4 linked regions of the Arabidopsis thaliana genome follow. The protein of the gene in region 1 purifies or fractionates together with the protein of each later gene. This does not show direct contact. Each region holds a gene or a part of one and is shown in the gene's direction. Other genes may lie near its edges.

The links.
Region 2: the proteins of PWP2 (region 1) and AT3G26480 fractionate together in Arabidopsis thaliana (co-fractionation; one large-scale study listed by BioGRID). This does not show direct contact.
Region 3: the proteins of PWP2 (region 1) and AT3G21540 fractionate together in Arabidopsis thaliana (co-fractionation; one large-scale study listed by BioGRID). This does not show direct contact.
Region 4: the proteins of PWP2 (region 1) and AT2G18900 fractionate together in Arabidopsis thaliana (co-fractionation; one large-scale study listed by BioGRID). This does not show direct contact.

The regions. Positions count from the first base shown.
Region 1 is NC_003070.9:5,305,499-5,311,409, reverse strand, and holds PWP2 (periodic tryptophan protein 2), read left to right. Parts: upstream 1-1,851; 5' UTR 1,852-1,949; coding exon 1,950-3,191; intron 3,192-3,291; coding exon 3,292-3,543; intron 3,544-3,631; coding exon 3,632-3,724; intron 3,725-3,864; coding exon 3,865-4,236; intron 4,237-4,335; coding exon 4,336-4,680; intron 4,681-4,763; coding exon 4,764-4,991; intron 4,992-5,080; coding exon 5,081-5,251; 3' UTR 5,252-5,383; downstream 5,384-5,911. Other genes in the region: BOR4 (HCO3- transporter family), read left to right, coding at 90-427, 521-800, 950-1,069, 1,155-1,214; AT1G15430 (hypothetical protein (DUF1644)), read right to left, coding at 5,620-5,911. UniProt on the Arabidopsis thaliana protein: Involved in nucleolar processing of pre-18S ribosomal RNA. Plays a role early in ribosome biogenesis, especially in the maturation of 5.8S rRNA. Required for guard cell functions.
Region 2 is NC_003074.8:9,686,744-9,692,620, reverse strand, and holds AT3G26480 (Transducin family protein / WD-40 repeat family protein), read left to right. Parts: upstream 1-1,654; 5' UTR 1,655-1,793; coding exon 1,794-1,913; intron 1,914-2,002; coding exon 2,003-2,179; intron 2,180-2,269; coding exon 2,270-2,416; intron 2,417-2,489; coding exon 2,490-2,835; intron 2,836-2,960; coding exon 2,961-3,079; intron 3,080-3,159; coding exon 3,160-3,237; intron 3,238-3,359; coding exon 3,360-3,524; intron 3,525-3,604; coding exon 3,605-3,649; intron 3,650-3,752; coding exon 3,753-3,922; intron 3,923-4,007; coding exon 4,008-4,086; intron 4,087-4,175; coding exon 4,176-4,252; intron 4,253-4,332; coding exon 4,333-4,462; intron 4,463-4,549; coding exon 4,550-4,679; intron 4,680-4,761; coding exon 4,762-4,928; coding exon of another isoform or gene 4,929-4,952; intron 4,953-4,978; exon of another isoform or gene 4,979-5,003; coding exon 5,004-5,348; downstream 5,349-5,877. Other genes in the region: AT3G26470 (Powdery mildew resistance protein, RPW8 domain-containing protein), read right to left, coding at 5,721-5,877.
Region 3 is NC_003074.8:7,585,362-7,592,897, reverse strand, and holds AT3G21540 (transducin family protein / WD-40 repeat family protein), read left to right. Parts: upstream 1-1,899; 5' UTR 1,900-2,041; coding exon 2,042-2,275; intron 2,276-2,473; coding exon 2,474-2,689; intron 2,690-2,803; coding exon 2,804-3,925; intron 3,926-4,168; coding exon 4,169-4,291; intron 4,292-4,449; coding exon 4,450-4,631; intron 4,632-4,918; coding exon 4,919-5,150; intron 5,151-5,378; coding exon 5,379-5,588; intron 5,589-5,771; coding exon 5,772-5,900; intron 5,901-6,017; coding exon 6,018-6,086; intron 6,087-6,275; coding exon 6,276-6,398; intron 6,399-6,479; coding exon 6,480-6,530; intron 6,531-6,621; coding exon 6,622-6,798; 3' UTR 6,799-7,012; downstream 7,013-7,536. Other genes in the region: DMP2 (transmembrane protein, putative (DUF679 domain membrane protein 2)), read left to right, coding at 636-1,190.
Region 4 is NC_003071.7:8,187,732-8,194,098, reverse strand, and holds AT2G18900 (Transducin/WD40 repeat-like superfamily protein), read left to right. Parts: upstream 1-1,562; 5' UTR 1,563-1,689; coding exon 1,690-1,809; intron 1,810-1,885; coding exon 1,886-2,071; intron 2,072-2,158; coding exon 2,159-2,347; intron 2,348-2,448; coding exon 2,449-2,854; intron 2,855-2,989; coding exon 2,990-3,108; intron 3,109-3,204; coding exon 3,205-3,282; intron 3,283-3,421; coding exon 3,422-3,562; intron 3,563-3,655; coding exon 3,656-3,700; intron 3,701-3,783; coding exon 3,784-3,950; intron 3,951-4,128; coding exon 4,129-4,207; intron 4,208-4,293; coding exon 4,294-4,370; intron 4,371-4,466; coding exon 4,467-4,596; intron 4,597-4,681; coding exon 4,682-4,814; intron 4,815-4,897; coding exon 4,898-5,064; intron 5,065-5,149; coding exon 5,150-5,312; intron 5,313-5,393; coding exon 5,394-5,608; 3' UTR 5,609-5,862; downstream 5,863-6,367. Other genes in the region: AT2G18910 (hydroxyproline-rich glycoprotein family protein), read left to right, coding at 1-211, 504-601, 1,030-1,083.

The DNA.
Region 1 (5,911 bases):
AAGTAGTAGACTCATAATTCAATGTTCCGGTGAAAGAAAAATCAAGATTTAATTTAGAATAATCATAAGCTCTTGCTTTTAAAAACCAGGCTCAGACAGATCCATCAGTGATAATTGAGCTTCAAGATCTGAAAGAAGCAGTAATGAAGAGCAATGATGAAGAAAGAGAGGGAGACGAGGAGAGTGGTTTTGATCCAGAGAAGCACCTTGACGCTTACTTGCCTGTTCGAGTCAACGAGCAGAGAGTTAGCAACTTGTTGCAGTCACTGCTTGTGGCAGGTGCAGTGTTGGCTATGCCGGCCATTAAGCTCATACCGACTTCCATTCTATGGGGATACTTTGCTTACATGGCCATCGACAGCCTCCCGGGAAATCAATTCTTCGAACGCTTAACGCTTCTCTTCGTTCCAACAAGCCGGAGATTCAAGTATATGTTCTGAAAATGATCTGTTTTTTTTTTCTTCAAGTTATTATTATTCAGATTTCTCTTCAAAGACTGATCATGCATTGTTGTTTTCAGGGTCTTGGAGGGAGCACACGCGTCGTTCGTGGAGAAAGTTCCTTACAAGTCAATGGCTGCGTTCACACTGTTGCAGATATTCTACTTTGGGCTGTGCTATGGGGTGACGTGGATTCCGGTGGCTGGAATCATGTTTCCGGTTCCTTTCTTCCTCTTAATAGCTATCAGACAGTACATTCTCCCGAAGCTCTTTAACCCGGCCCATCTCCGAGAACTCGATGCCGCTGAGTACGAGGAAATCCCCGGTACTCCGAGAAACCCGCTGGAACTGTCTTTCCGGGTTAGTCCATATCTTAGCAATATCTACATTTTTGAGGATCCCGGACTTTGGACTAAACCATGGAGGTTTTCTTGTCATCTAAGGCATCTACAGTGACCTAAAATATTTGAATTTGTTGAATTTAATGCCAAAATAAACTTGTTTTACAGTCGAATGACTCGAAGAGAGGCGTCCAAGAAGGCGATGCTGAGATTTTAGACGAGTTAACGACAAGCAGAGGCGAGCTTAAAGTCCGTACATTGAATCTTAACGAAGACAAAGGCAACCAGGTTTTGTTTTGTTATGCATCCTTGATATGAATCTTAACTTTGTGAAAAGAATTATAGACTCAAGATCGCTGTTAAAAACCTGCAGATTTATCCCAAGGAGAAAGTAAAAGCAGGAGACGGGGACATGAGCACGACAAGGGAGTGAGTGAATCAACAAAAAGAATCAGAGATTATTCTTTCAAGTGATGATCATGATCATGATCATACGCAAAACTATATAGTATTGTAGAACACAGATTGTATGTGGCTTTCTTTTTTTTTTTGGTTCTTAAACCTAAGATGATGTGTGTGTTTGTCAATATAGTCTTCTTAGCAATGAAAATCGATAAAGAATTAACACAGCGAGAATGTTACGGATATGTAACGTAACCTTCCAAGAAAAGGTACTAAATTTCAAAAAAGTCAATGTGTTCCTCATAATTTCAATCTATGAGTCAATAATCACTTTACCATAGACTAAAATTCATTTTGTTAACTTTTTGTGTAGAAGAAAAGCAAAGGATAGCTTCTCTTCTATGGTAAAGATGCGAATCTGTAGTTTGTTTGATGTTCTCTGCAAAATTCGCATGTATAAAATTAATTAAACGTTTAGAAATATAATAGATGAACTTTATAGTACAAAGGATCCGTGGCGCAATGGTAGCGCGTCTGACTCCAGATCAGAAGGTTGCGTGTTCGATTCACGTCGGGTTCAAATATCCCGAATCTTGATCCTTAATTTTTTTTTCCTCTTGGGCTTACTACGACTACATAAGGAGGAAGCCCATATATGCCCAACAACTAAAATCCAGTTCATAACAGAAACCCTCGTTAAACCTAACGCCGTAATTATCGCCTCCGGCATATCAATCCTCCGCCTTCTCATTCTTCTCCAGACGCCATGGAGTTCCGTTTCGAGAATCTTCTTGGCGCTCCTTACAGAGGCGGGAACGCAGTCATCACTAAGAATACTCAGCTAATTTCACCGGTTGGTAATCGTGTCTCCGTCACCGACCTAAGTAAGAACCATTCGGTCACTCTTCCGCTCGAAACCTCTACCAACATATGTCGCCTCGCTTCCTCACCCGACGGTACTTTCCTACTCGCCGTCGATGAACAAAACCGATGCCTTTTCATCAACTTGCCTCGGCGGGTAGTTCTTCACAGAATTACCTTCAAGGATAAAGTCGGTGCCTTGAAGTTCAGCCCTAATGGTAAGTTTATCGCTGTTGGAATTGGTAAGTTGGTGGAAATATGGCGATCACCTGGTTTCAGGCGAGCTGTTTTGCCCTTTGAGCGGGTTAGGACTTTTGCTAATTCTGATGATAAAGTTGTCTCCTTGGAGTGGAGCTTGGACTCTGATTATTTGCTTGTTGGCTCAAGGGATTTAGCTGCTAGGTTGTTTTGTGTTAGAAAGTTGAAGGGTGTTTTAAATAAGCCATTTTTGTTTCTGGGTCATAGAGATTCTGTTGTGGGTTGCTTCTTTGGTGTTGATAAAATGACTAACAAGGTCAACAGGGCTTTCACGATTGCAAGGGATGGTTACATTTTTAGTTGGGGCTATACTGAAAAGGATGTCAAAATGGATGAATCAGAAGATGGCCACTCTGAGCCACCGTCACCTGTTACTCCAGATAGGGCTGATGAGGTGATGGTGGAAAATGGTGGTGGTGTTGGTACTGAGCTTAAGAAACGAAAAGAGTATGACGGTAAAGGTCTTGAATCAGATGAAGAAGGAGATGATGATGATGAAGAGTATATGCACAGAGGAAAATGGGTTTTGTTGAGGAAGGATGGGTGTAATCAGGCATCAGCAAAGGTGACCGCTTGCGACTATCATCAGGGACTTGACATGGTTGTGGTGGGGTTCTCAAATGGTGTTTTTGGGCTTTATCAGATGCCAGATTTCATCTGTATCCATCTGCTCTCTATTTCTAGGCAGAAGCTAACAACAGCTGTCTTCAATGAGCGTGGTAATTGGCTGACCTTTGGTTGCGCGAAACTTGGGCAACTGTTAGTCTGGGATTGGCGAACCGAAACCTATATACTGAAGCAACAAGGACACTATTTTGACGTCAACTGTGTCACTTACTCACCGGATTCGCAGCTCTTGGCAACTGGTGCTGATGATAACAAAGTCAAGGTAATGAAATTTCATAGACTTAACTGTTATGTTCTATACCATGCTTCTCATCTATTTCTGAATTTAACCAGCCCGTTTTTTATTATGTTACATTTTTAAGGTGTGGAACGTTATGTCAGGAACATGTTTCATTACATTCACCGAGCATACCAATGCCGTGACTGCTCTTCATTTTATGGCTGACAACCACTCCCTCTTAAGTGCATCTCTGGACGGCACTGTTCGTGCTTGGGATTTTAAAAGATACAAGAACTATAAGACATACACAACCCCTACACCCCGACAATTTGTTTCCTTAACAGCAGACCCGAGTGGTGACGTCGTCTGTGCTGGGACCCTAGATTCATTCGAGGTAATTCAACTTAGGCCCTGAAGGATTTCAGTCACCTACTCACAAATACTTTGGTGAGGTGAATCACTTTATGCTTGCCTATGTGCAGATTTTTGTATGGTCCAAGAAGACTGGGCAAATAAAGGATATTCTGAGTGGGCATGAGGCTCCTGTTCATGGGTTGATGTTTTCTCCCTTAACGGTAAAGAAACTGTCATAGTCTCATACTTCTTTTAGTCAAAATACAATTTGCTTCGTGCCTCTGAACAATTATGTGAACTTCTGCCTTATGGTGTTATAACTTCCATGCCTTATCTAGTTCATATATTTCTTTCTCTGCAGCAACTTTTAGCTTCATCCTCATGGGACTATACAGTTCGGTTGTGGGATGTGTTTGCTAGCAAAGGCACCGTGGAAACGTTTCGACACAACCACGATGTTCTAACAGTTGCTTTCCGTCCTGATGGGAAGCAATTAGCCTCGAGTACGCTAGATGGGCAGATCAATTTCTGGGACACCATTGAAGGTGTGTTAATGTACACCATAGAGGGGCGGAGAGATATCGCTGGAGGTCGGGTCATGACTGACCGTCGGTCTGCAGCTAATTCAAGTTCTGGAAAGTGTTTTACAACATTGTGCTATTCCGCTGATGGAGGGTATATTCTAGCCGCAGGAACTAGCAGATATATTTGCATGTATGATATCGCAGATCAGGTTAGCTAACTAGCTCCTCTTGGAGTTCAGGTTTTCTTAAAGCTTGTGTTCTTCTGATAAAGAAACTTAGTCAAAGTGTCTGGAATATCACCTTTTCAGGTTCTTCTGCGCCGGTTTCAGATATCCCATAATCTTTCGTTAGATGGGGTTCTGGACTTCTTGCACTCTAAGAAGATGACAGAAGCAGGACCAATTGATCTGATCGATGATGACAACAGCGATGAAGAAGGTGGCATTGATAAACAGTCGAGAGGGAATCTGGGTTACGATCTGCCTGGATCCAGGCCTAACCGTGGCAGGCCCATTATCCGGACAAAAAGCCTCAGCATTGCCCCAACTGGAAGGAGCTTTGCTGCTGCAACAACAGAAGGAGTCCTCATCTTTTCAATTGACGATACCTTCATCTTTGATCCGACCGATCTAGATATAGATGTTACTCCAGAGGTGAGCCTTTTGTAAATCGCTGATGGTGGTTATAGTTCTGATTATTGGTTTTGAAATGTAAAGCTAAGGTGTTGTTTGTGTAGGCTGTTGAGGCTGCCATAGAAGAGGATGAAGTTAGCAGAGCACTTGCTCTAAGTATGCGTTTGAACGAAGATAGCCTTATCAAAAAATGCATCTTCGCTGTAGCCCCTGCAGACATAAAAGCTGTTGCCATCTCTGTCCGCCAGAAATACTTAGAAAGGCTTATGGAAGCTTTGGTGGATCTGCTTGAGAACTGTCCTCATCTGGAGTTCATACTTCACTGGTGTCAGGTAATGTCTCGTTTTCTTCTCTTTTTTGATAAATCTCTGCTCAAATGCTCTCAACTTAATCAAACTTTGTGTTGTCTTTTTATGTGCAGGAAATCTGCAAGGCTCACGGAAGCTCCATTCAGCGGAACTACAGAACTCTATTGCCTGCACTGAGATCGTTGCAGAAGGCGATCACCAGAGCCCATCAGGATCTGGCAGATATGTGTTCTTCCAATGAGTACACGCTTCGCTACTTGTGTTCTGTTCCAAACAATCATTGATTATGTTTTCTGCATTATGTATCACCGGAAATTTTCATCTTCCTTTTTCGGTTAAACAAATTTTGAGATTTTGATATATGAGTTTCTAACATCTGAATACAAAATGGAGCAAAGAAATTAAACAGTTTGCAGGCAACCATAAAAAGTACGAAGAATGTGAATAATTTGATTTAAGCAGAGATTTTTGAATAGGCAAAAGATGATCCTAGCTATGAAGACTTCACTAACAGAAGCTAACATACAAACAATATTAAATTTATGCCTAGAACAAGAACTGATGTCGCTACAAGAACATTACATTATGATAAAAATCAAGAGACATCAAAACTTTTGGAAGAATTCCTCATAGACTCTGGCACTCAGAATCTTCATGGCGTCCATCTGGGATACATGGGGGCATGGAACTCCAGACGGGGTATGTGAGCCGGGTAATTGTCGGTGCTTGCACGGCTCTCCATGGACGCACCAAGAAACAGATTATGCACCAACGCATCAAAGTTGAGATCAATCATGGGATGACGATATGGAAGCTGATGGAGAGAAGTCGCCAACAATCTCTGTTCTGCATCCCATCTCTGACGAGCGTTGAGCATTTCAATGTACTCCGCCTCTCTCTCCAACTGCTCCCACATGTGTTGCTCCCAAGGGTCTAACTTTGGC
Region 2 (5,877 bases), on another chromosome or scaffold:
TCAGATGACATTATCAAGAAGGTTCTGAGATTGGGCCAAATTGAGAATGCAGCAAACCTCAAGCCCAATAAACAACAGGCCCAAGCGCAGACCCTAAACAACTCTCAGCTCCAACGGTCATCTCCTGCAAAAGAAGACAAAACCAAAAGTACATCAAGATTGGATCAAAGGACAAAAACAAGGAGCTGTGCTGGAAAAGAAGGAGTGGTTTTACAAAACTGTTTTGACTGTCTAGGATCAATAGAGACCTGACATGTGTCAGTGAAAACCCTAGTGTCACTAAGATTATAATGCCTATGAAAGGAAACATGATGTAATCTTAAACCCTAAAGAGAATAATCAAGAGAAATGAAATTTATCTTCTTTATATTTAGCCTTTGAGCATCTTTACTTTCATTGGTTAAGAGAACACTGAAAGCAACAATTCATATGTATAAAAATCTGAAAAAATAATTCAACATTCTAATTCATTAAACGTAGGATTTACAAAAGTCCCACTTTGTCTCCCATTTTTAGTCATCGTTCATGATGGTTGTATGCGAATAGTTTGATGAACAACTATAATTATTACATTTAGTTTGTTTCCAACGAGCCATATGTCAATGTTTGTTACGCTACAATTTTTATTTTTCTTATTTCTTAAACTTTTTACTTTGGAATAAGTTGATATGTATATGAATCATCTACCATTTCTCGTTTTTTCACAATAAATCCTAAATTTTTTGAACATTTTGTCTATATATAACTTTTCCATGACATAAATTAACCTTAGATAATATTGTATCTAAAGGTATAAACTACCGTTCCAAGTCTGATTAAACTATTGACCCTAAACATTTTTAAAACTGTTAGATCCACAAGACGCACAACTAGTTGATTGCATAGTCTTTTGAAACAAGACAAACAAACACTATATCAAAACAATATCATCTTTCTAATTTTATTTTAGTTATGTCGCTATCTATATGAACGATTTTCCGATAAGCTAGTCATATGCAAAAGATTTATAAAAAAAGTAATATGTTGACGAGGAAAGTGATAGATTGATAAATTAAGAACATAAATGTTTTTGAAAAGAAATTATAGCTAAACTGTCATAAAATAAAATTATAAAATAGATTAACTTATATATAATAGAAGCAACTTCAGTTTTTTAAAACATTCATGGAATTAACGATGGATATCGAAGTTTATTGGTCAACCTAAAATCATACCCATACATTTTAGTATTTATTGGACGACCTCAAAAATCAAAGTCATTGTCGACCATTGTAATACAGTTAATGTCGCATACTATGCCTCTGAATCATCCATCCATATTTTGTTAAAACGAAGTGAGTTTGTTAACTACAAAATTTCCAATTATTGGACTATACATTATATTTTGTTTATCCACAGGGTTTTTCACATAAATTAAGAAAATACAAAATACTTAAGATCTTGAAAAATTATGTAAGTTATTTTCTTGCCGTCTCATTTTATTAAAGATAAAACAGAAAAAATAAACAAACAGGCCGAGGCCCAACAAGGTCAAGGCCTAGTCCAAGAAGCGAAACCCAAACATGGAGGAAGAGAATGAGAGGAGTCATCACAGAGCCAGGTGTTACGAAGAAAGTGAAACTACAAGTACAAGCATATAGTACTAAGTACTAGTCGCAATTTGGTCACAGACATAATTTCCTCGAAAACTGGGTACATTGTAATATTTCGTCGGAAAAACGTCGCAAAATCTAATTTTTAATCGCCGAGTAAGATGTTTGCGTCTTCTCAGAATCTCCGTGAGTTGAAGGAAAATGATTCGCGGCGGAAGAAACAACATTACTTCCGCTCCGGCGTTTTCGAAAGACGCAAAGAAGCTTCTTTTATGCACAGCCAACACCGTCTCTGTTTACAGCGTCGCCACTGGCTTAAAGGTTTTATCTCTCGACTCGAGCATCCTTCCTTTTAGGGTTTCCCTCTAATCTTCTTCTCTCATTAGCGTATGCGTGTGTGTGTTTTTAAGATTACTTCACTCGAGGATCATACAGCGCCTGTGACGTCTGTGATTGTTGATCCGTCTTCCGACGAAACCGTCAGTTACTGTTGGACTTCGTCGCTCGATGGGAAAATTCGGATTTGGGAGTTCTCTGCGCCGAAGCTTTTGAAGATATTTGATACCCACCTTCCAATTCACTCTCTGGTCTGTTAAAGTTCCATACTTTGCAGCTTATAAACAAAAATTTGATAACTTTCAATTGCCCTTTTCTAAGTGTCTGTTGGGACTTTGTAGGTGATGATTCCAGCTCAAGTGTCACATTCCGTGATTGCTTATGTTTCGGTTGAGGACTATTCAAGTGTGTCCAAAGATTTGTTTGGACAAATCCGGAGATATGATCTCACTCAAGACCCTCTTCATAGTGGAGACACTTTGAAAGAGGTCAGATTTGTGGATTAACCATTTTTCGATTAGCCTCATGTTTGATTCTATAATCATTTTTGTTAATGTGCAGATGGAAGAACCAAAACCTATTGTTTTAAGTCCCTCTGGAGAGTTTTTCGGCGTCTGTCATAACTGCAGTATACATATATGGAATGTGGCATCAGAGCACCTCATGCCAAAGGAGACGACATTACATCATACAGAGTTGATTACTGTTTTTGCTTTCCATCCCAATCAGAGAATATTAGCAGCCGGTGATGTAACAGGAAGAGTGTTAATTTGGAAGGATAATGGTATTGGAGAATTTACTTCAGTGAAAACTGAAGATGATACTGAATCTTGCACTACTTTCAACTGGCACAGCGCTGAAGTAACCGTCCTTAATTTCTCTTCAGATGGAGCACTTTTGTATTCTGGTGAGTCTGAGTTATTTTTTCATCATAGTGACTGTATCTCTGTGTGTTGATAAGGAATTCATGTTTCTTATATATATATATATTGAGTTCTTATGCTATATTTCCTTTGCTTGTGACTCTTTTAGGGGTAAAGGCAGGTGATTTTGTTGTTTGGGAGCTAGGTACAGGGAAGAAGCAACTTTTGCCAAAGATTGGATCTCCCTTGTTGTATTTCATCTTCTCTTCAGATTCAACTCTTTCTTCTGTAAGAGTTTTTCCGTTTACAACAACCGTAGAAAGCAAATGAAGTGTTTCATTAACTCTACTAAGATCAAGAATTTTCAGGTGATTTGTGCAGATAATCAAATTCATCTTCTTAAAATGCCTTCCATGGAGATATTGAGAACGATATCTGGAATCAAGGTTCGTTCTTACTATCATCCGAAATTTTTCCTTGTTATTGTTGGTTTAAGCATGCTCATATTGTATACCGTTTCTGTTGGAGTTAACTTCACATGCATATTGTGTTCTTTACTATGTAATAGCCTCCGACACCAGAGCGTCACGGGTTTATATGCTACGTCAAAACGCGGGATATATGCCTCACCAGAACTGTATCCATTGATCGTTCTTCCGGTATAGCTGCTTTCTGCACAGCGAATCATCGTGTTCAACTCTACAACCTTTTAAGTGACCATGACATTTCAGAGGTTAGCTTCCCAAAAGGCTTATTGAGTTTTGTATCTGATAGTTGTATGATTTTACTATTTAACAAACCTAACATATGCAGGTTCAAATTTGCGATCATCATCCAGACGATGATGATCAAGTCCGGGTTAGTACATTTTGTTTCTTCTCTGTAAGATGACATAGTTGTTACTAGTAAAAGATCCGCTCTCTTTCTGTTTTGTAATAATTTGAAGAATTATGGAAAATAGGTTCTCGTGACTGCGGTTGCTCTCTCTCGGAATGGCTCAGTAATGACTACAGCTGAGGCCAGATTTGCTGCAAGCAATTTCAGTGAAGGCATAGTTTCTCTCAAGTTTTGGGTATTTGTACCGGACAGCAAAACTTTCAGCTTATCGACAGTCATAAATCAACCTCACAGGTTTTTACTTCAATGTTCTTATAAACTTTTAAACTCCTTGATTCTCATCGTGAGTGTAACTTTTGATCCTTCTGTATTCTCACAGGGAAGCTGCAATTACAGCCATTGCCCTTAACCCCGCCCGTTCCATGGCTGTTAGTATATCTTCTGCTGGGGACTTCAAGGTAGGATTACAGAGTAGTGAAAAATGGATCATTTCCTTGGAATATCGTTTGACCTTTTGTGTTACTGATATGACTTTATGTCTGTCAAGATTTGGGTTTGCAGTAGCGACAAGAATCTGACACCTGAGGACTCAAACTGGATTTGTCATGGAGTTGGCTCTTATAAGTAAAAGATTAGGAACCTTTTAACATCTCTCATTACTTAGTCGTTGTGATGTCAAATGAAATTGATGTAATATTTTTCAGGAGAACGCCAATAACAGCTGCTGTTTTTTCCGGGGATGGTTCTTGTCTGGCTCTTGCGGCTAAAACAGTTATTACGATCTGGCACCCGTTAAAGAACGAACTCCTGTATGTAGTTGGAAAGGCAAATGCGGTAAGACTTGTATAACACACAAAAGCAATTCCATGTTCATTAGTTACAGTCATTGTTGAAATCTTAAATGATATGTAAATGTTTCAGCCAATTATGGAACTCTCATTCACTGGAGGAGGCTTCCTTATTGCTGCATCCCATGGTTCCACACCGCACTTATCTGTCTGGGATCTGATGACGTTCTGCTTATCATGGTCATATAGATTATACATAGAAGGTTTATTATTTATCTTTTTGATCATGAAATCTTGATTTTTTTGGTTGTCTAAGTATATTTCATTTTTCCTGTTTATTTGCAGCCATTGCTACTGAAGTGGACTCACCATACTTTGCAGTTTTAACATGGCTTCCAGAATCTGATAGGTTGGTAAAATCTAACGAACAGATATTCCGCGGGAAAGATGGTGCTATCCTCTTGTTTGATGGGTCAGGCCCTAAACCAGTAGCTATTTGGACTGTAATGAAGGTATATACTCTAAGGAAGGATTAATCAAAGTTCTCTCATTGCCGTTAAGAGACTTGATTACAATGTTTATTGCAGGCCAGAGGAGGAACACTTTCATTTGTGGAAGATGGTAAAAAGTCTCAGCCGCTTCTCGCGTATGTAAACAGGAGCCATGAATATGTTCTATTTGATCCTTATAGCGATGAAAAACTCGAGACTAGCGCCATAGATTATGAAGTTTTTCTTGCAGCAATAAGCAAAAAGAAGAAGAGATCTAGGAAGAAAGCATTGATGTCAGAGAAACCTTGGGAAACAATGTTTTGTGGATCAACACTCAATTTCCCGCCTTTCCCCGACTTGTGCGCTTCGTTCTTCAGTTCCCGGATGCAGAAAGAGGTGTGTGAGAGAGCAGATAGACAACCTGAAAGACATAGCTCTTGAGAGACCCCATATTTTGGAACCCAACTTGGATAACATCATTTTGTTGGTAGCCTTTTTGTTAGAGATACAATCTGATTCCTTCAGCTACTAAAAGGGTTGTTTTGATATTAAAAGGGCTTCATTCATCATGTAGAACCTGCTGATTTGAGGTGTATAAACCAATTCTCTCTTTAATACGTAAAAAAGTAAGGTCAATTGTAACGTATGGAAAAAGAAGAAGCTAAAACAGAGTAGTGGACGATAAATTATATTTAAAATTGTGACTGAAACATAATTTAACAAATTGAAAAACATAAATCGAAAGCAATTTGTGTTTTAAAGATCGTAGTCCGCAAGGTTGAGTGGGTTGCAAGTATCCTAAGTCGTATGTGGTCAAGCAGGAGGATTCATGGAGGCTGCAGGAGGAGACATCATCGGTAGGAGGGTCTCGGGGTCAAAGCCGTTGGCTCGTAGTAAGACATCTTGCGCTCGCTTCATCGCAAGCATGTTGTTGATGACGTTGTTGGAGAAGGTGCGGAATTCAGCCTCC
Region 3 (7,536 bases), on another chromosome or scaffold:
TGATACTATCATACTACTTTAGAAATGTTATGTTATTTATTTTTATTTAAAAACAGAGTATTCACAGGTTCTACAAAACGTTCATAAACTTAACCGGTTTTAACAAACTATTAAGTCGAGTAAACCATATGTATAAATCAGTAGTTTCCTATGTGTAGTCTCTAAATACACAAAAATGTTTTTAACAAGATTCAAATATATAAATAAATTTATACATGTTCCGGTCTACTTGCCAAACATATTGTTTCACACTCGATACGTTTTGGACTACCAGATCTTTCAACGACCGTATGACGATATGTGTGACAACAAATGGAATGGAGCATTAAAAATGACTTCACACTTCTATGTATCTAATACAAAGAGAAACATAACGAATCTAATCCTCCAAGCCACGTTTTCTAGTACAAGCCTAAAATACTAAAAAGGGTAACCTAAACAAATAAAAAAGTTATAATTAAATTTTCCCCCAACTTTTTCTAAAGAGTATAAGCAACACCAAACCCGTTTTTACGTAGAAGCAATGTCTCTCTCTCATCCTATAAACACTCGACAAACAACACTTTTATGAATTCACATTCAAGAACACTATAAACGACAACTAAAAATATAATTTACAAAAGAAGAACAAAAAAATGTCGAAAACATTCAAAGCCATAAGAGACCGGACATATTCAGGCGTAGGAGACCTCATCAAGCTCCTCCCGACCGGAACCGTCTTCTTGTTCCAATTTTTAAACCCTGTCCTAACCAACAATGGACATTGCCTCCTCATCAACAAATACTTAACCGGAGTTCTCATCGTTATTTGTGCCTTCTCTTGTTGCTTCACTTGCTTCACCGATAGTTACCGAACAAGAGACGGTTACGTTCATTATGGAGTTGCCACCGTGAAGGGTCTTTGGCCAGATTCATCTTCAGTGGATTTGTCTTCGAAAAGGCTTAGAGTTGGAGATTTCGTTCACGCTTTCTTCTCTCTTATCGTGTTCAGTGTTATTTCCTTGTTGGATGCAAACACCGTGAATTGTTTCTATCCTGGCTTTGGCTCCGCTGGGAAGATCTTTCTCATGGTTTTGCCTCCGGTGATCGGAGTTATCTCCGGTGCTGTTTTCACGGTGTTCCCTAGTAGACGTCACGGAATTGGGAATCCCTCGGACCACAGTGAGGATGATGCTTCCGAGATGAAATGATAGTATATGATTTTATACTATTTATATGCATAAAACATTAAAATGTAATGGCATGTGTTTATTCGTGGAATGGTAAATACGAAAGTTTTATAATTGTGATCTTTTTTTTTGTTATTTTTATTTATGTATTTGAATGCTGATCATATGTTGTGTGTTTGTTTTTTGGTATTTTTTCCATATGTTTGTTGATAAACTCAAAAGTAATAACATATCTCTTTTTATGCTCATAGTGAGTGAATCAGCATTATTGAAATCACTAGATGTTAAGGAGTTGAAACTTAAGAGACACTTATATGAACTAATGTATATACACACAAATATTTCTATATATCCTTTTATTTTGAAAGAAATTAGCTAGGAAAAATTAATGTGGATGGGCCCTTTAACAAAAAAAATAAAAAAAATTAATGTGGATGTTAAAAAGGTAAGCCTAGAGTATGAATAAGATAAAAAGTGTACGTTCTTGATTTTCTTTAGATGATAATCATTCAATTATTATACATTGATTTTTAAGAAAATGATAAAAAATTACTAATATTGGTCATGGATGTCGTGAGCCATTTTTCTTTTTGTTTGTTCTGTTTCGTTCTTAGTACCAATGATTACACAACATAGTTGCAAATTGAGAAAACAAAAGTTTGGGTCCGAAGAGTAAGGGCTTCAAATCTATTGAAATAAAGTTAGGGGTTAAATATTGAATAGACAAAAGGTTTAAGACTATATCGCAATTTATCAAAAGTAACATTGGATGTTAGAACCCTGCTGCCTTAACCACTCTAAAACCCTAAATCCCGCCATCAAAAGCTAGAAGAAGAAGAAGAAGAGAAAATCAAAACCAAAGCTTTTGGAGAATGGTGAAGGCTTACCAAAGATACGATGCAGCGACCTCTTTCGGTGTGATTTCATCTGTAGATTCGAACATAGCTTACGATTCGACGGGGAAGTATGTGCTTGCTCCGGCGTTGGAGAAGGTCGGAATATGGCACGTCCGGCAAGGTGTCTGCTCCAAAACCCTAACTCCTTCCTCCTCTCGCGGTGGACCATCTCTCGCCGTTACCTCTATAGCCTCCTCTGCTTCTAGCTTGGTACTTACTTTTGTTCGTTTTTTATTTTGATTTGCTTAATGACTTGAAAGTTGTTCACTTTGTAATCTATTTGGTAGCTAAATAGAGCTAGAAATGTCGTATTTGAATTTTAAGCTAGAATTAATAATATTCATGGTGCTTTGTACTATTGAGTATCTGAAGGAGTTTGCTGTTGTTTGATTCTGTGTGATAAACCAGGTGGCAGTTGGGTATGCAGATGGGAGCATAAGAATATGGGATACTGAGAAAGGAACTTGTGAGGTTAATTTTAATAGCCATAAGGGGGCGGTGACTGCTTTGCGGTACAATAAGGTTGGATCGATGCTTGCATCTGGAAGTAAAGATAATGATATTATCTTGTGGGATGTTGTTGGCGAATCAGGTCTTTTTCGTCTCCGTGGGCACCGAGATCAGGTTATTTAATGTCTAGCTTGATATTTCTAGTATTTAGTGTTTGATGATTCTGCTATGGTGTGTGGGTTTTTATAGTGGTTTTTGACAAGAGCAATGTTCATGTGTCTAATGTAGGTCACAGATCTTGTATTCTTGGATGGTGGTAAGAAACTTGTAAGTTCATCTAAGGACAAGTTCTTGAGAGTCTGGGATCTTGAGACCCAACACTGTATGCAAATAGTTAGTGGTCATCATAGTGAAGTGTGGTCTGTTGATACTGATCCAGAGGAGAGATATGTTGTTACTGGGTCGGCTGATCAAGAACTTAGATTTTATGCTGTCAAGGAATATTCGTCTAACGGATCATTGGTATCTGACTCAAATGCAAATGAAATCAAGGCCAGTGAAGAACATTCGACAGAGAACAAGTGGGAAATTCTAAAGCTGTTTGGGGAAATTCAGAGACAAACTAAGGATAGAGTTGCGAGAGTTAGATTCAATGTTTCGGGAAAACTTCTGGCTTGTCAAATGGCAGGTAAAACTATTGAAATATTCCGGGTTTTGGATGAAGCTGAGGCTAAGCAGAAAGCAAAGCGTAGGCTTCGCAGAAAAGAGAAGAAGAGTTCCAAAGTGGGGGATGAAAATTCAACCGCTAATGGCGAAGCAAGTGCTAAAATTGAACTAGCTGATGCTGTTTCTAGTCCTACTGTCCTTGATGTTTTCAAGCTCTTACAAGTCATTAGAGCTGGGAGAAAAATCAGCTCTTTCTCTTTCTGTCCGACAGCTCCAAAAGAATCCTTAGGAACATTAGCTCTCTCTTTGAACAATAACTCACTGGAATTCTATTCCCTTAAAAGCAGCGAAAACGCGAAAACTGTTACCATTGAACACCAAGGACATCGCTCTGATGTGAGGAGTGTTACCCTCAGTGAAGACAACACCCTTTTGATGTCAACCAGTCACAGTGAAGTAAAAATTTGGAATCCCAGTACAGGTTCCTGCCTCCGGACCATTGATTCAGGATATGGATTATGCAGTTTGATTGTTCCCCAAAACAAGTATGGTATTGTTGGAACCAAGAGTGGGGTACTTGAAATCATTGATATAGGGAGCGCTACCAAAGTGGAAGAAGTGAAGGCTCATGGTGGCACTATTTGGTCAATTACACCTATTCCAAACGATAGCGGGTTTGTCACAGTCAGTGCAGATCATGAAGTCAAATTCTGGGAATACCAAGTCAAACAGAAATCTGGCAAGGTGAGATTCCTGACCTTAAGTTTCTTTTATTTTCTCTATTAGATAAGTAAACGTTTTTGTATCATAGATTGCCTCTCTACTCTCTTTTTTTCCATCTCCTGTTTTCCGTGCCTTTGTTTTCTGGAATTGCTCACTCTTAAGAAAGTTGTTGATGAGCACATTGTTTATTAGTGTTATTTGAGTAGTATATTACAGTGTGCTAAAATGATTCGATCAAAACATATTGTGTTTGATAACCTGCAGGCGACCAAGAAACTCACTGTTTCAAATGTTAAGTCCATGAAGATGAATGACGATGTACTTGCTGTTGCTATCAGCCCGGATGCTAAACACATAGCAGTTGCACTGCTTGATTCCACAGTGAAGGTAGATTTTCTGTTTATGGCATATGTAAATGAGAAAATAATAATTTTCAGTACGTCATATAAATGATACGCTAACCACATTCTTATAATCGTATCTATCGTATTATCATTTACATTGACGTATGTAACACTAACTTATGTACCTTATATTGGTTTCAGGTTTTCTACATGGATTCCCTAAAATTCTACCTCTCCTTATATGGCCACAAGTTGCCTGTGATGTGCATTGACATCTCATCAGATGGAGAGTTGATTGTTACTGGTTCTCAGGACAAAAATTTGAAAATTTGGGGTTTGGATTTTGGTGATTGTCATAAGTCTATCTTTGCTCATGGTGACAGGTACTTCCATAATTCGTACCATATTTCTGAAAATGGCATAACGTACTCAATAATGTGGACCCAGTTTTTCCTTGAATATTATAATTTTGTGTAAGAAAACAGTATGACTAATTGCATGACATGATATATAAGCAGAAAACCCCTTTCCTTTTCCAGTATCTTCCCAACAGATTTACTTGGCTAGTAAAATGTTGATTATTACCGCAAATATTATATTTTGTGTTAAAGACTCCTTGGAATCATTAAAAGATTGTGGAGCTTAACTGACACGCGACTTTGTTTTACAGTGTCATGGGTGTAAAATTTGTTCGGAATACCCATTATCTGTTCAGCATTGGGAAAGACCGCCTCGTCAAGTATTGGGATGCTGACAAATTCGAGCATTTGTTAACGCTTGAAGGACATCATGCAGAGATTTGGTGCCTTGCTATCAGTAACCGTGGTGATTTTCTCGTAACAGGATCTCATGACCGCTCCATGCGTCGCTGGGATCGCTCTGAAGAACCTTTCTTCCTCGAGGTAATTCCCCACTGTTGGAAGTTACTTATTTCAGTTTACATGATGAAATCAAATACGGAAGTCATGCAAGTTCAAGCATTCAAATATAATAACTCTTCTATGTGTATGTGGTTGTGAATGTAGATTTGGTGTCATACTGTCATGTCTACATAAATCTCAAGTATATTTTGACGAGTTATTTTATGTGACTTTAGGTCAATTAATGTAATTTTACTGGAAATAATGCAGGAAGAGAAGGAAAAGAGGTTAGAAGAGCTTTTTGAGTCTGAGATTGATAATGCAGCAGATGACAGGCATGGACCCATGGAGGAAATTCCAGAGGAAGGTGTTGCAGCATTAGCTGGCAAGAAGACGATAGATGTTCTATCAGCTGCTGATTCAATTATAGATGCTCTGGAAGTAGCAGAAGATGAAACAAAGCGTCATGCTGCTTATGAGGTGGGAATCGTTACTTTGTTTGTTTATCTATACATATCGACATGACATCCCCCTAGTTGGTACTTCGTTTTTGGCTAATTTGGAGTTGAATTTAACACAAAATGGTTATGCCAATATCTACGGTTGCTACTTTGTTTCCTACTTGTTCTTTGCATCGTGATTTTTCTTTCTTCCAATCTTCAGGAGGAGAAAACAAAGGGAAAAGTTCCTGAATACCTACCCAACGCTGTGATGTTCGGGCTTTCTCCGTCCGAATATGTTCTCAGGGCCATCTCAAATGTGAGAACAAATGATCTTGAGCAGACTTTGCTGGTAGGTTGCCTTTCTTCCATCAAACCATCGTTTTACTAGTTACTTGGTTGCACCCAACTCGTACTAGATCCATGGTTATGTTAATCAATACCCTTTCCTCTTTTGGGTTTTATGTAGGCTCTACCATTCTCAGATTCTTTGAAGTTTCTTTGCTACATGAAAGACTGGAGTTTAATTCCCGAAAAGGTAAATTATATACTCCTTTTGTGTCGTAGATTCTAGATTTTAGCTCTGAAGGGCTTATAGATATAGCTTCGTGTTGTAAAGTAGAATGTACTCGATCTGGGTCATCAACCTGTTATATTTTTACAACAGATTATAGATCCATCCTTCTCGTCTTAGAATATCTCTAATGTTTGTTACCAAATCCTGCAGGTAGAGTTGGTTAGCAGAATCGCAACCATTATATTACAGACACATCACAACCAGTTGGTAACAACACCATCTGCCAGACCAATCTTAAGCGTTCTCAGGGACATTCTTTACTCAGAAATCAAGGTTAGCAAAGAGGAAAATGTTGTTGAGTTGTATATCTTTTTATTTCTGAATTGGTTTTGATATGAATCTGGAACTTATCAGGCATGCAAAGATACAATCGGTTTCAATTTGGCCGCCATGGATCATGTCAAGGTAAAAACATTTCGCACTTTGGATTATGTTCATTTTTAGCATTTTATCTCATCTTTGTGGGTATTTAAAGTGAAGCTGTGGTGTTTTGCAGCAAATGATGGATGCAAGATCTGATGCTCCCTTCAAAGATGCAAAGGCCAAGCTATTGGAGATAAGGTCACAGCAAGCAAAACGTATGGCATCACGAGGAGATACAAAGATGGAGAAAAAGAGAAAGAAGAAGCAGAAGAAATTAGAGGAAGGACAACATGGCCATGCTTTGTTCTGAGGATGTAACTTTTAAAGATGGTTAATTTAAATCCAATTTTGCCTGTTGTAACCTTTTTTTTTCTTCCATTTAATGTTTTACTAAATCACTTCGTGGAAATGTCAAATGTGGCTCGAAAGGGTCAAAATATAAATTTTCGTTACCAAGGGTCAAAATTGTACATTTCTTAAAATTAAAGGGCCATTCGTGAATAAATGATATGTTTGTGGTTTAAGACTGATTAAACCAGTCTGGTTTAATTCCGAGCTCCACTAATTTCCGGTTAACGTAAAGGTCTTTGCAATGGCGGAACAGTGATGACGGCGACGGTGATCGAATGGTGAGTTTCGTCGGACACCGTCGCTTTTACTTGATTCTCGCGCCTACCTCAAGGTCTCTTTCTCTGCTCCGTATATACAATATACATATACACACAAAACGATCGAGATTATGAGCATTACACGAAATTTTTTCTTACAATTTGGATTTCGATTTCTGAAAATATTCTCACTCATATAGTGAAATAAAAGCGTGTGAAATGGGTTTATGATAAAGGAAATAAAAATTTCATCTTGGGTCAATTTTACAGAAACAAACCCCTTGCAATATATCATCAAGTGATTATTGTTCATTCCTGAGTTACACAAGCTTTGAATTTTATGTTTTGCAATTTCTTGTGGAGGATTACTACTTTCAGTTGTTTGTGTTAAGAGTTCTGCTTCAATGCAAGTGACTATGCCTCATTCCATTATGTCTCTT
Region 4 (6,367 bases), on another chromosome or scaffold:
CCTGTTATCGGAAAAATCGGTCCTTACACTGTCTTTATGACTCCTCCTGCGACTCCTAAACCACCTGAATCTCCCTCCGCTGTGTCTCAGAAGCCTGTGATGGCACCACCGGTTCTTCCTCCGCCGCAGCAGTTTAAATCGGTGGCTTCTTCTGACCAGGACGGCTCAGTTTTGGGGTTCTTTAAAAACGCCGTCACAAAGGTTCAAAATGGTGAGAAATCTGATAAACAATTAACTGATTTTCAGCTCAAAGTTTCCTCATTTTTAGATCTTGAATTTGAGATTGATTTTTCCGATACCCTTTGATTGATTGATTAGGAAATTGAACTCAAAAATGATATAAATCGTTGTAAAGTTTCTATCTTTGTGAAGTGATTGGAAAGTACTAATGTTACATGAATTCTAGCTTTTCATACTGTTTATGTGATTTGGTCCTAAAAGCAATTAGATTGTGAATTTGACATTCATGTTGTGTGTGTGTGTTCTAATCCATTTGACTACAGCACATTCAAGTGTGGATGATCATTTGGTGAGGTGGTTTGGGTTAAACCAATCTAAGTATCAGTGGGCTTTGGATGAGTACTACGAAAGCAAAGAATCAGTAAGTTTTTTTTTGAGTCTCTATATGTTTCCTTTGAGTCTCTATATGTTTAGTTTCTTGTTCTTGCGGGTCCTGTATCGTTCTTTGTACTAGTTTCTATCGATAATCGATTCCTTTAGTCCGATTGATTCATCAGCTTTTTGTTTCATGTACATTTTGCGTAAGCTTAGAAGTAAAGCTAGTTTAAGTGTTTTTTTGCTCTTTGCTTCTAGGCTAATGAACATAACAATATACAACCAATGAAATTGATACAACATATTTGAAGCTTGATATTCACTCAATATCAGTTGTAAAAATTGTTCATTGGTATTTGGTAGTCAAAAATGTCATTGATTGGTTTTAGAGTTACTACTCTCTTTAGTCATTGATTTGCTTATGTTCCTCAAGTAAATCTTGTAGTTAACACATATCTTTTGAATCGAACGCAGGATATGAAGACCGTGAAAGCAAAGGAGATGCCGGGGAAAGTACAGAGTGTATAAGCAACCATGTATAAACTCATTTCCCCTTTGGCCAATTCTAAAATCTGTTTTTCTGAGAGAGTTCAAAAAAGCTTGAGTCTTGAGGAAAGTTCTCTTCAGATGATATTTAATCTTAGAGATTTCTTTTGGTATATTTCAAAACCTATGTAGTAGCTCTTTCTAGTTTCATCTAACAATGGTGAAATCTCCAAAGCAAAATGGAGAGATGTCATTGGTCATTTGGTTTGTTGTAAGTTTAATCACATTATTTACTTTTTAATTGTATCGTTATAATCTATATATTGTCTCAATTCAAAAAAGTTTGCTCAGTGTTTTTCTTTTGATTGTTGTCATACATGAAAACTTTTGCTAGATACCTCTCAAAACTTCAATAATTATCTTCATCAAACCTAACAAGGCCCATTACAAAGGCCCAAAAACATTATTGTTTAATATTTTCCGATTAAATAAATAGATAAAAACTGAAATGTAATTGAGCAGAAAAAAAAACAAAAGAGACGAAGAAGGGTTTAAGTTAGGGCTTTTGAAGTAAACCAATTTTGTGCGTCTCCCTTTTCTTCTTCTCTTCCCAATTTCACCGCCTCTCTCTATCGCCGGAAATTAACCATGAAACGCGGCGGAAGAAGCTACGTAACTTCACCTCCATCATTCTCCAACGACGCTAAAAAGCTTCTCGTCTGCACAGGAAACACTGTCTCTGTTTTCAGCGCCGCCACTGGCTTACAGGTACCAAAAATTTAATTCTTCTTCGATTTTGTTAGGGTTTCTATTCGAATCATTGATTGATACATTTCTGTTTTAGATTACTTCGCTTGAAGGTCATACAGCTCCAGTAACAACTCTAATTGTTGTTCCTGCATCAAGTCCTGCTCAAAAAATCCTTTGTTATTGTTGGACTGCTTCTCTTGATGGTACTATTCGTCATTGGGATTTCTCTGGACCTGAGCTATTGAAAACTATTGATGCTCAGCTTCCGATTTACTCTATGGTGAGTATAAAAAAAGTTTGATACTTTGATTAGGTTTTGTGAGTGTTTTGTTTGATGAAATGAATCTATGTGTTTTGTGTGTTTTAGGTTATACCATCTCTTTTGAGCGAACCTCAACAAATTGATAAACGTCGTGAGTTGTCTGGTAAGTTGGTTGCTTATGTTTCCGTTGAGGATATAAGTGTGGTTAACCAAGGGTCTAAAGAGTTGCGTGGACATATCCGAAGATTTAACCTCGCTAAGTCGCGTATTCCTCGTGGAGATACTTTAAAAGAGGTTAGTTTTTTTAATGGACTTATTTGAAAGAGGTTTGTCTTTAATGTTGTCTTGAAGTTGAATTGTGTAAGCTCAAGTTATTTGCTTATTTCTTTGTGTAGACGGCAGAACCAGAATCTATTGTTATTAGTCCCTCGGGAGAATTTTTCGGAATCCGTCACAAGTGTAAAATTCATATATGGGATGTTCCTTCTGGAGGATCAAGGCATGCGGTTTCAAGGAAGATGACATTACATCACACAAAGGTTATCAATGCTTTTGCTTTTCATCCCACGGAGAGAGTTATAGCTGCTGGAGATGTAACTGGAAGAGTGTTGATTTGGAGAGGATTTGGTAATAGAAAACTTGCCTTGGGTAATCAAAAGAAAAAAGTGAGAGCCATGGTTGATTTGGACAATGCTGGAGTGAGAGGTGAAGATGATGCTGAATCTTGCACTACATGGCACTGGCATTCTGCTGAAGTTAATGTCCTTAATTTCTCTTCCGATGGAGCATATTTGTATTCAGGTGCGGCCGAGTTATATTCTGATATCCATTGGATTTATGAACCGACATAGACTAATAGGTCATGAGCAAATTTACTGTTTGAAAGTAATGTCCTGACTTCTTACTCCATATTGCGTCTGTTTTCTGACTCTTTAGGGGGAAGGGAAGGGGTACTTGTCGTTTGGCAGCTAGACACAGGGAAAAAGAAATTCTTACCAAGGATAGGATCCCCCTTGCTGTATTTCATGTGGTCTCCAGATCCAACTCTTTCTTCTGTAAGTCGGAGCTTACTCTTTCATTCTAATCTAACACACAACTGCTGAAAGCAAAAGGGAATGTTTTACTGATTTGACTACGAATGAGAGCTGCAGGTGGTTTGTGCAGATAATCAGATCCATTTGCTTAAAATGCCTTCCATGGAGATCTTAAGGACCATTTCTGGAATCAAGGTTCGTCTTGGAAACTTAATAATTAAGGACCTGTAATCATTCTCGTCAGTTTTGTCAACGATTCTAGGATTCTAGAAACTCTCGCAACCGCTTTACCTTTTTCTTGGTGTTTACTTCAATGTGTGTTATTTTGTTACAGCCTCCCCCATCATTGCCTAGGATGTATGAAGGCTTGGCTAGTACTGTTGCCTTTGATCGATCTTCTGGCATAGCTGCTTTGTGCACAGAGAATTATTGTGTACAGCTATATAATCTTCTCAATGACCGGGGAATTTCAGAGGTTAGAATTTGGCTCCAATATATCCTTAAGAAACTCTATGCCACTTTCTCCTGTCTATGAAATCTCTAACTTCTTTAATCAATGCTTTTGCAGATTCAAGTTTGTGAGAGAAACCATCAACCAGGAGATGAGATCACAGTAAGTACATTTCCTTGCTGTTTATTTGATAGTATATCTAAGATTATTTTCGTTTGGGTGATAATTTGAGTAAACGGTAATAGGTTGTGGTGACAGCGGTTGCTCTCTCCCTGGATGGCTCAGTGATGAGTACAACCGAGGTGAAACTTCCGGAAGATGGAATAGGAGGCTTAGTGTCCCTCAAGTTTTGGGCGTCTGAACCAGACAGCAAAACTTTCACCTTATCCACAATCGTATATGAACCTCATAGGTTAATATTTCACCCTCTGCTAATGGATAAAGCTTTATTTTTCACCATTACCCAATTTTCTTGTCATGTTTTATTTCTTGTAAACCTTGCAAACATAGATTTCAATTTCTCTTATTTAGTCTACAAACTGTTATATCCTTTGCAGAGAGTAAATTTTATTTTCCTGTATATCTTACAGGGATGCCGGTGTCTCAGCCATTGTGTTCCACCCTACCCGCTCCATGGCAGTGAGTACATCATTCGGTGGTGACTTCAAGGTAGTTCTTAAACTGATTTTACATTTTTCTCTCTGTGTTTTTTGTTTGTTATTATTGTCTTACTGATATCACTTTTGCTGTTTCAGATTTGGGTATGCAACAGTGACAAGAACCAGACGGATAAAGACTCTAGCTGGATATGTCACGCTGTTGGCTCTTATAAGTAATAGCTTCTCTACGCGCTAGGAAATTTCAACATTCACAAATTATTCGCCTTGGCGATCAAATTTATATTCTCTTGCCTTTGAATATTTTCCAGGAAGAAACCAATGACTGCTGCTGCTTTCTCTGGGGATGGCACTGTTATGGCTGTTGCGGCTGAGAATGTTATTACACTGTGGAATCCAGATAAGAACATTCTCTTGTCTGTTCTAGGATCGACACTCACGGTAAAACCTATGAAGTTATCCCTAAAAAAGCTGGAACCTTTTTCCATAAAGACCAATGTTTAAACCTCTCTATATATTATTACAGCCTATCACGAAGCTCTGTTTCGCTGGAAAGTCTGAGTTCCTTGTTGCTGCATCCCATATTCCAAGACCTGAACTATCTGTTTGGAATACATCAAAGTTATCTTTATCATGGTCATATGGGTTACGCATAGAAGGTCAGTATTATAATGCTTCTTTGATTTCCCCATGAAAACTCTTGCTGTGGTTTACTTAGAAAATGCTTGTTCTCGTTCTATAGCTGTCACCTCTGCAGTGGATTCGTCAGCATTTGCAGTCTTGGCTGTGATCCCAAAAACTTTTAAAACAGATGAATCTAAGGAGAACATCTTCCGTGGTAGAGATGGTGCCATTCTTTTGTTTAACGGATCAGATCCCAAGCCGGTATCTATATGGACTGTGATGAAGGTATGACATAAGAAATAGCCCGTTAGTATTTAACCTTGGAGAGACAGGAAAGAATCCAACGAGTTAAACAATGTCTAAATTGCAGGCTAGGGGAGGATCAATCTCATTTTTAGAAGGAGATAAGTCTCAGCTTCGCCTTGCATATGTAAATGGAAGCCATGAATATGTTGTCTTTGATCCCAATAGTGATGAGTCACATGAGCGTAGCGCTGTTGACTACGATGGTCTTGCTGGTCTGGAAGAGACAGGTAGTTAAAACTTAAAACATATTTGAAAGAACCTTTGTTGATTATACCATGTTACTAATCGAAAAAGTCTCAACCTTTTAGGAGACGCCGGGTACACATCCTTATACGGGCAGTTACCTGATTATGACAAGAAGAGAATGGAGGATGTTGAGTCGTTGGGAACACCGTTTGTATCATCAGAAAGACCGTGGGAAACAATATTCAGCGGCTCCACACTAAATTTCCCGCCACTTCAGAAATTATGTGCTGAGTTCTTTGAGTCCCTAATGGAGAAAAGAACGGCCGTTGTGGAATGAGACCTTACACAAAAAGTTTTTTGTAAGGTTTATTATACAGAAGAAGAGCTCATTTTTGCAGCCATCTTTGGTGAGCAAAGTTGTTGAGTTTGTTCAGGAAATTTTGTAGCTCTTTGTTGTGAGATTCGGTCCAGTTTATTTATGTTGTTGCTACTCAAAAAATACAGGATTCTAACCAATTGTGCCATGTTTGACCCAAAAACGAAATGAAATATCACGACCTGCCTTTTTTTTTTTCGTTTCTAAAATACGGCATGCATTTATATATTTTAATGCAAATTGTTCTTGAAATCATAATGAGATTTATTATACTGAGGGTGCTTCGTTTTTAAATTTGAAAAATGTTCATGAAATCGTTATATATCCTTAGTGGAAATAAGCAAAATAATTTGGGGACTTTTTACTTTTGCTAATAGATTCTCAATAATTGTGAAACGAGTCAGGTGCTCCTAACCCACCAAAAGAAATTATTCCAAAATCCAAATATTTCAACTAACACCTTGCATTATTTTATTTGAACTTTGCTTGATAACATTTTGCATTATTAAGTTGGAAAATGGGAATACAAATAGATATTTCATATTTCGTGATTCGAGGTTCATCTATTATATATTTAGCTCTTTTGGTGGTCCAATATGTTGAGCAAATTATTCTTTAAGTACATGAAAAAGGTAATTGCTTTGGGGACACTTACCTTTTTATTTTTATTTCCACATGCATGTAGGACAATAGTTTGCAAGGTTTGTGTTACGTCTTCGA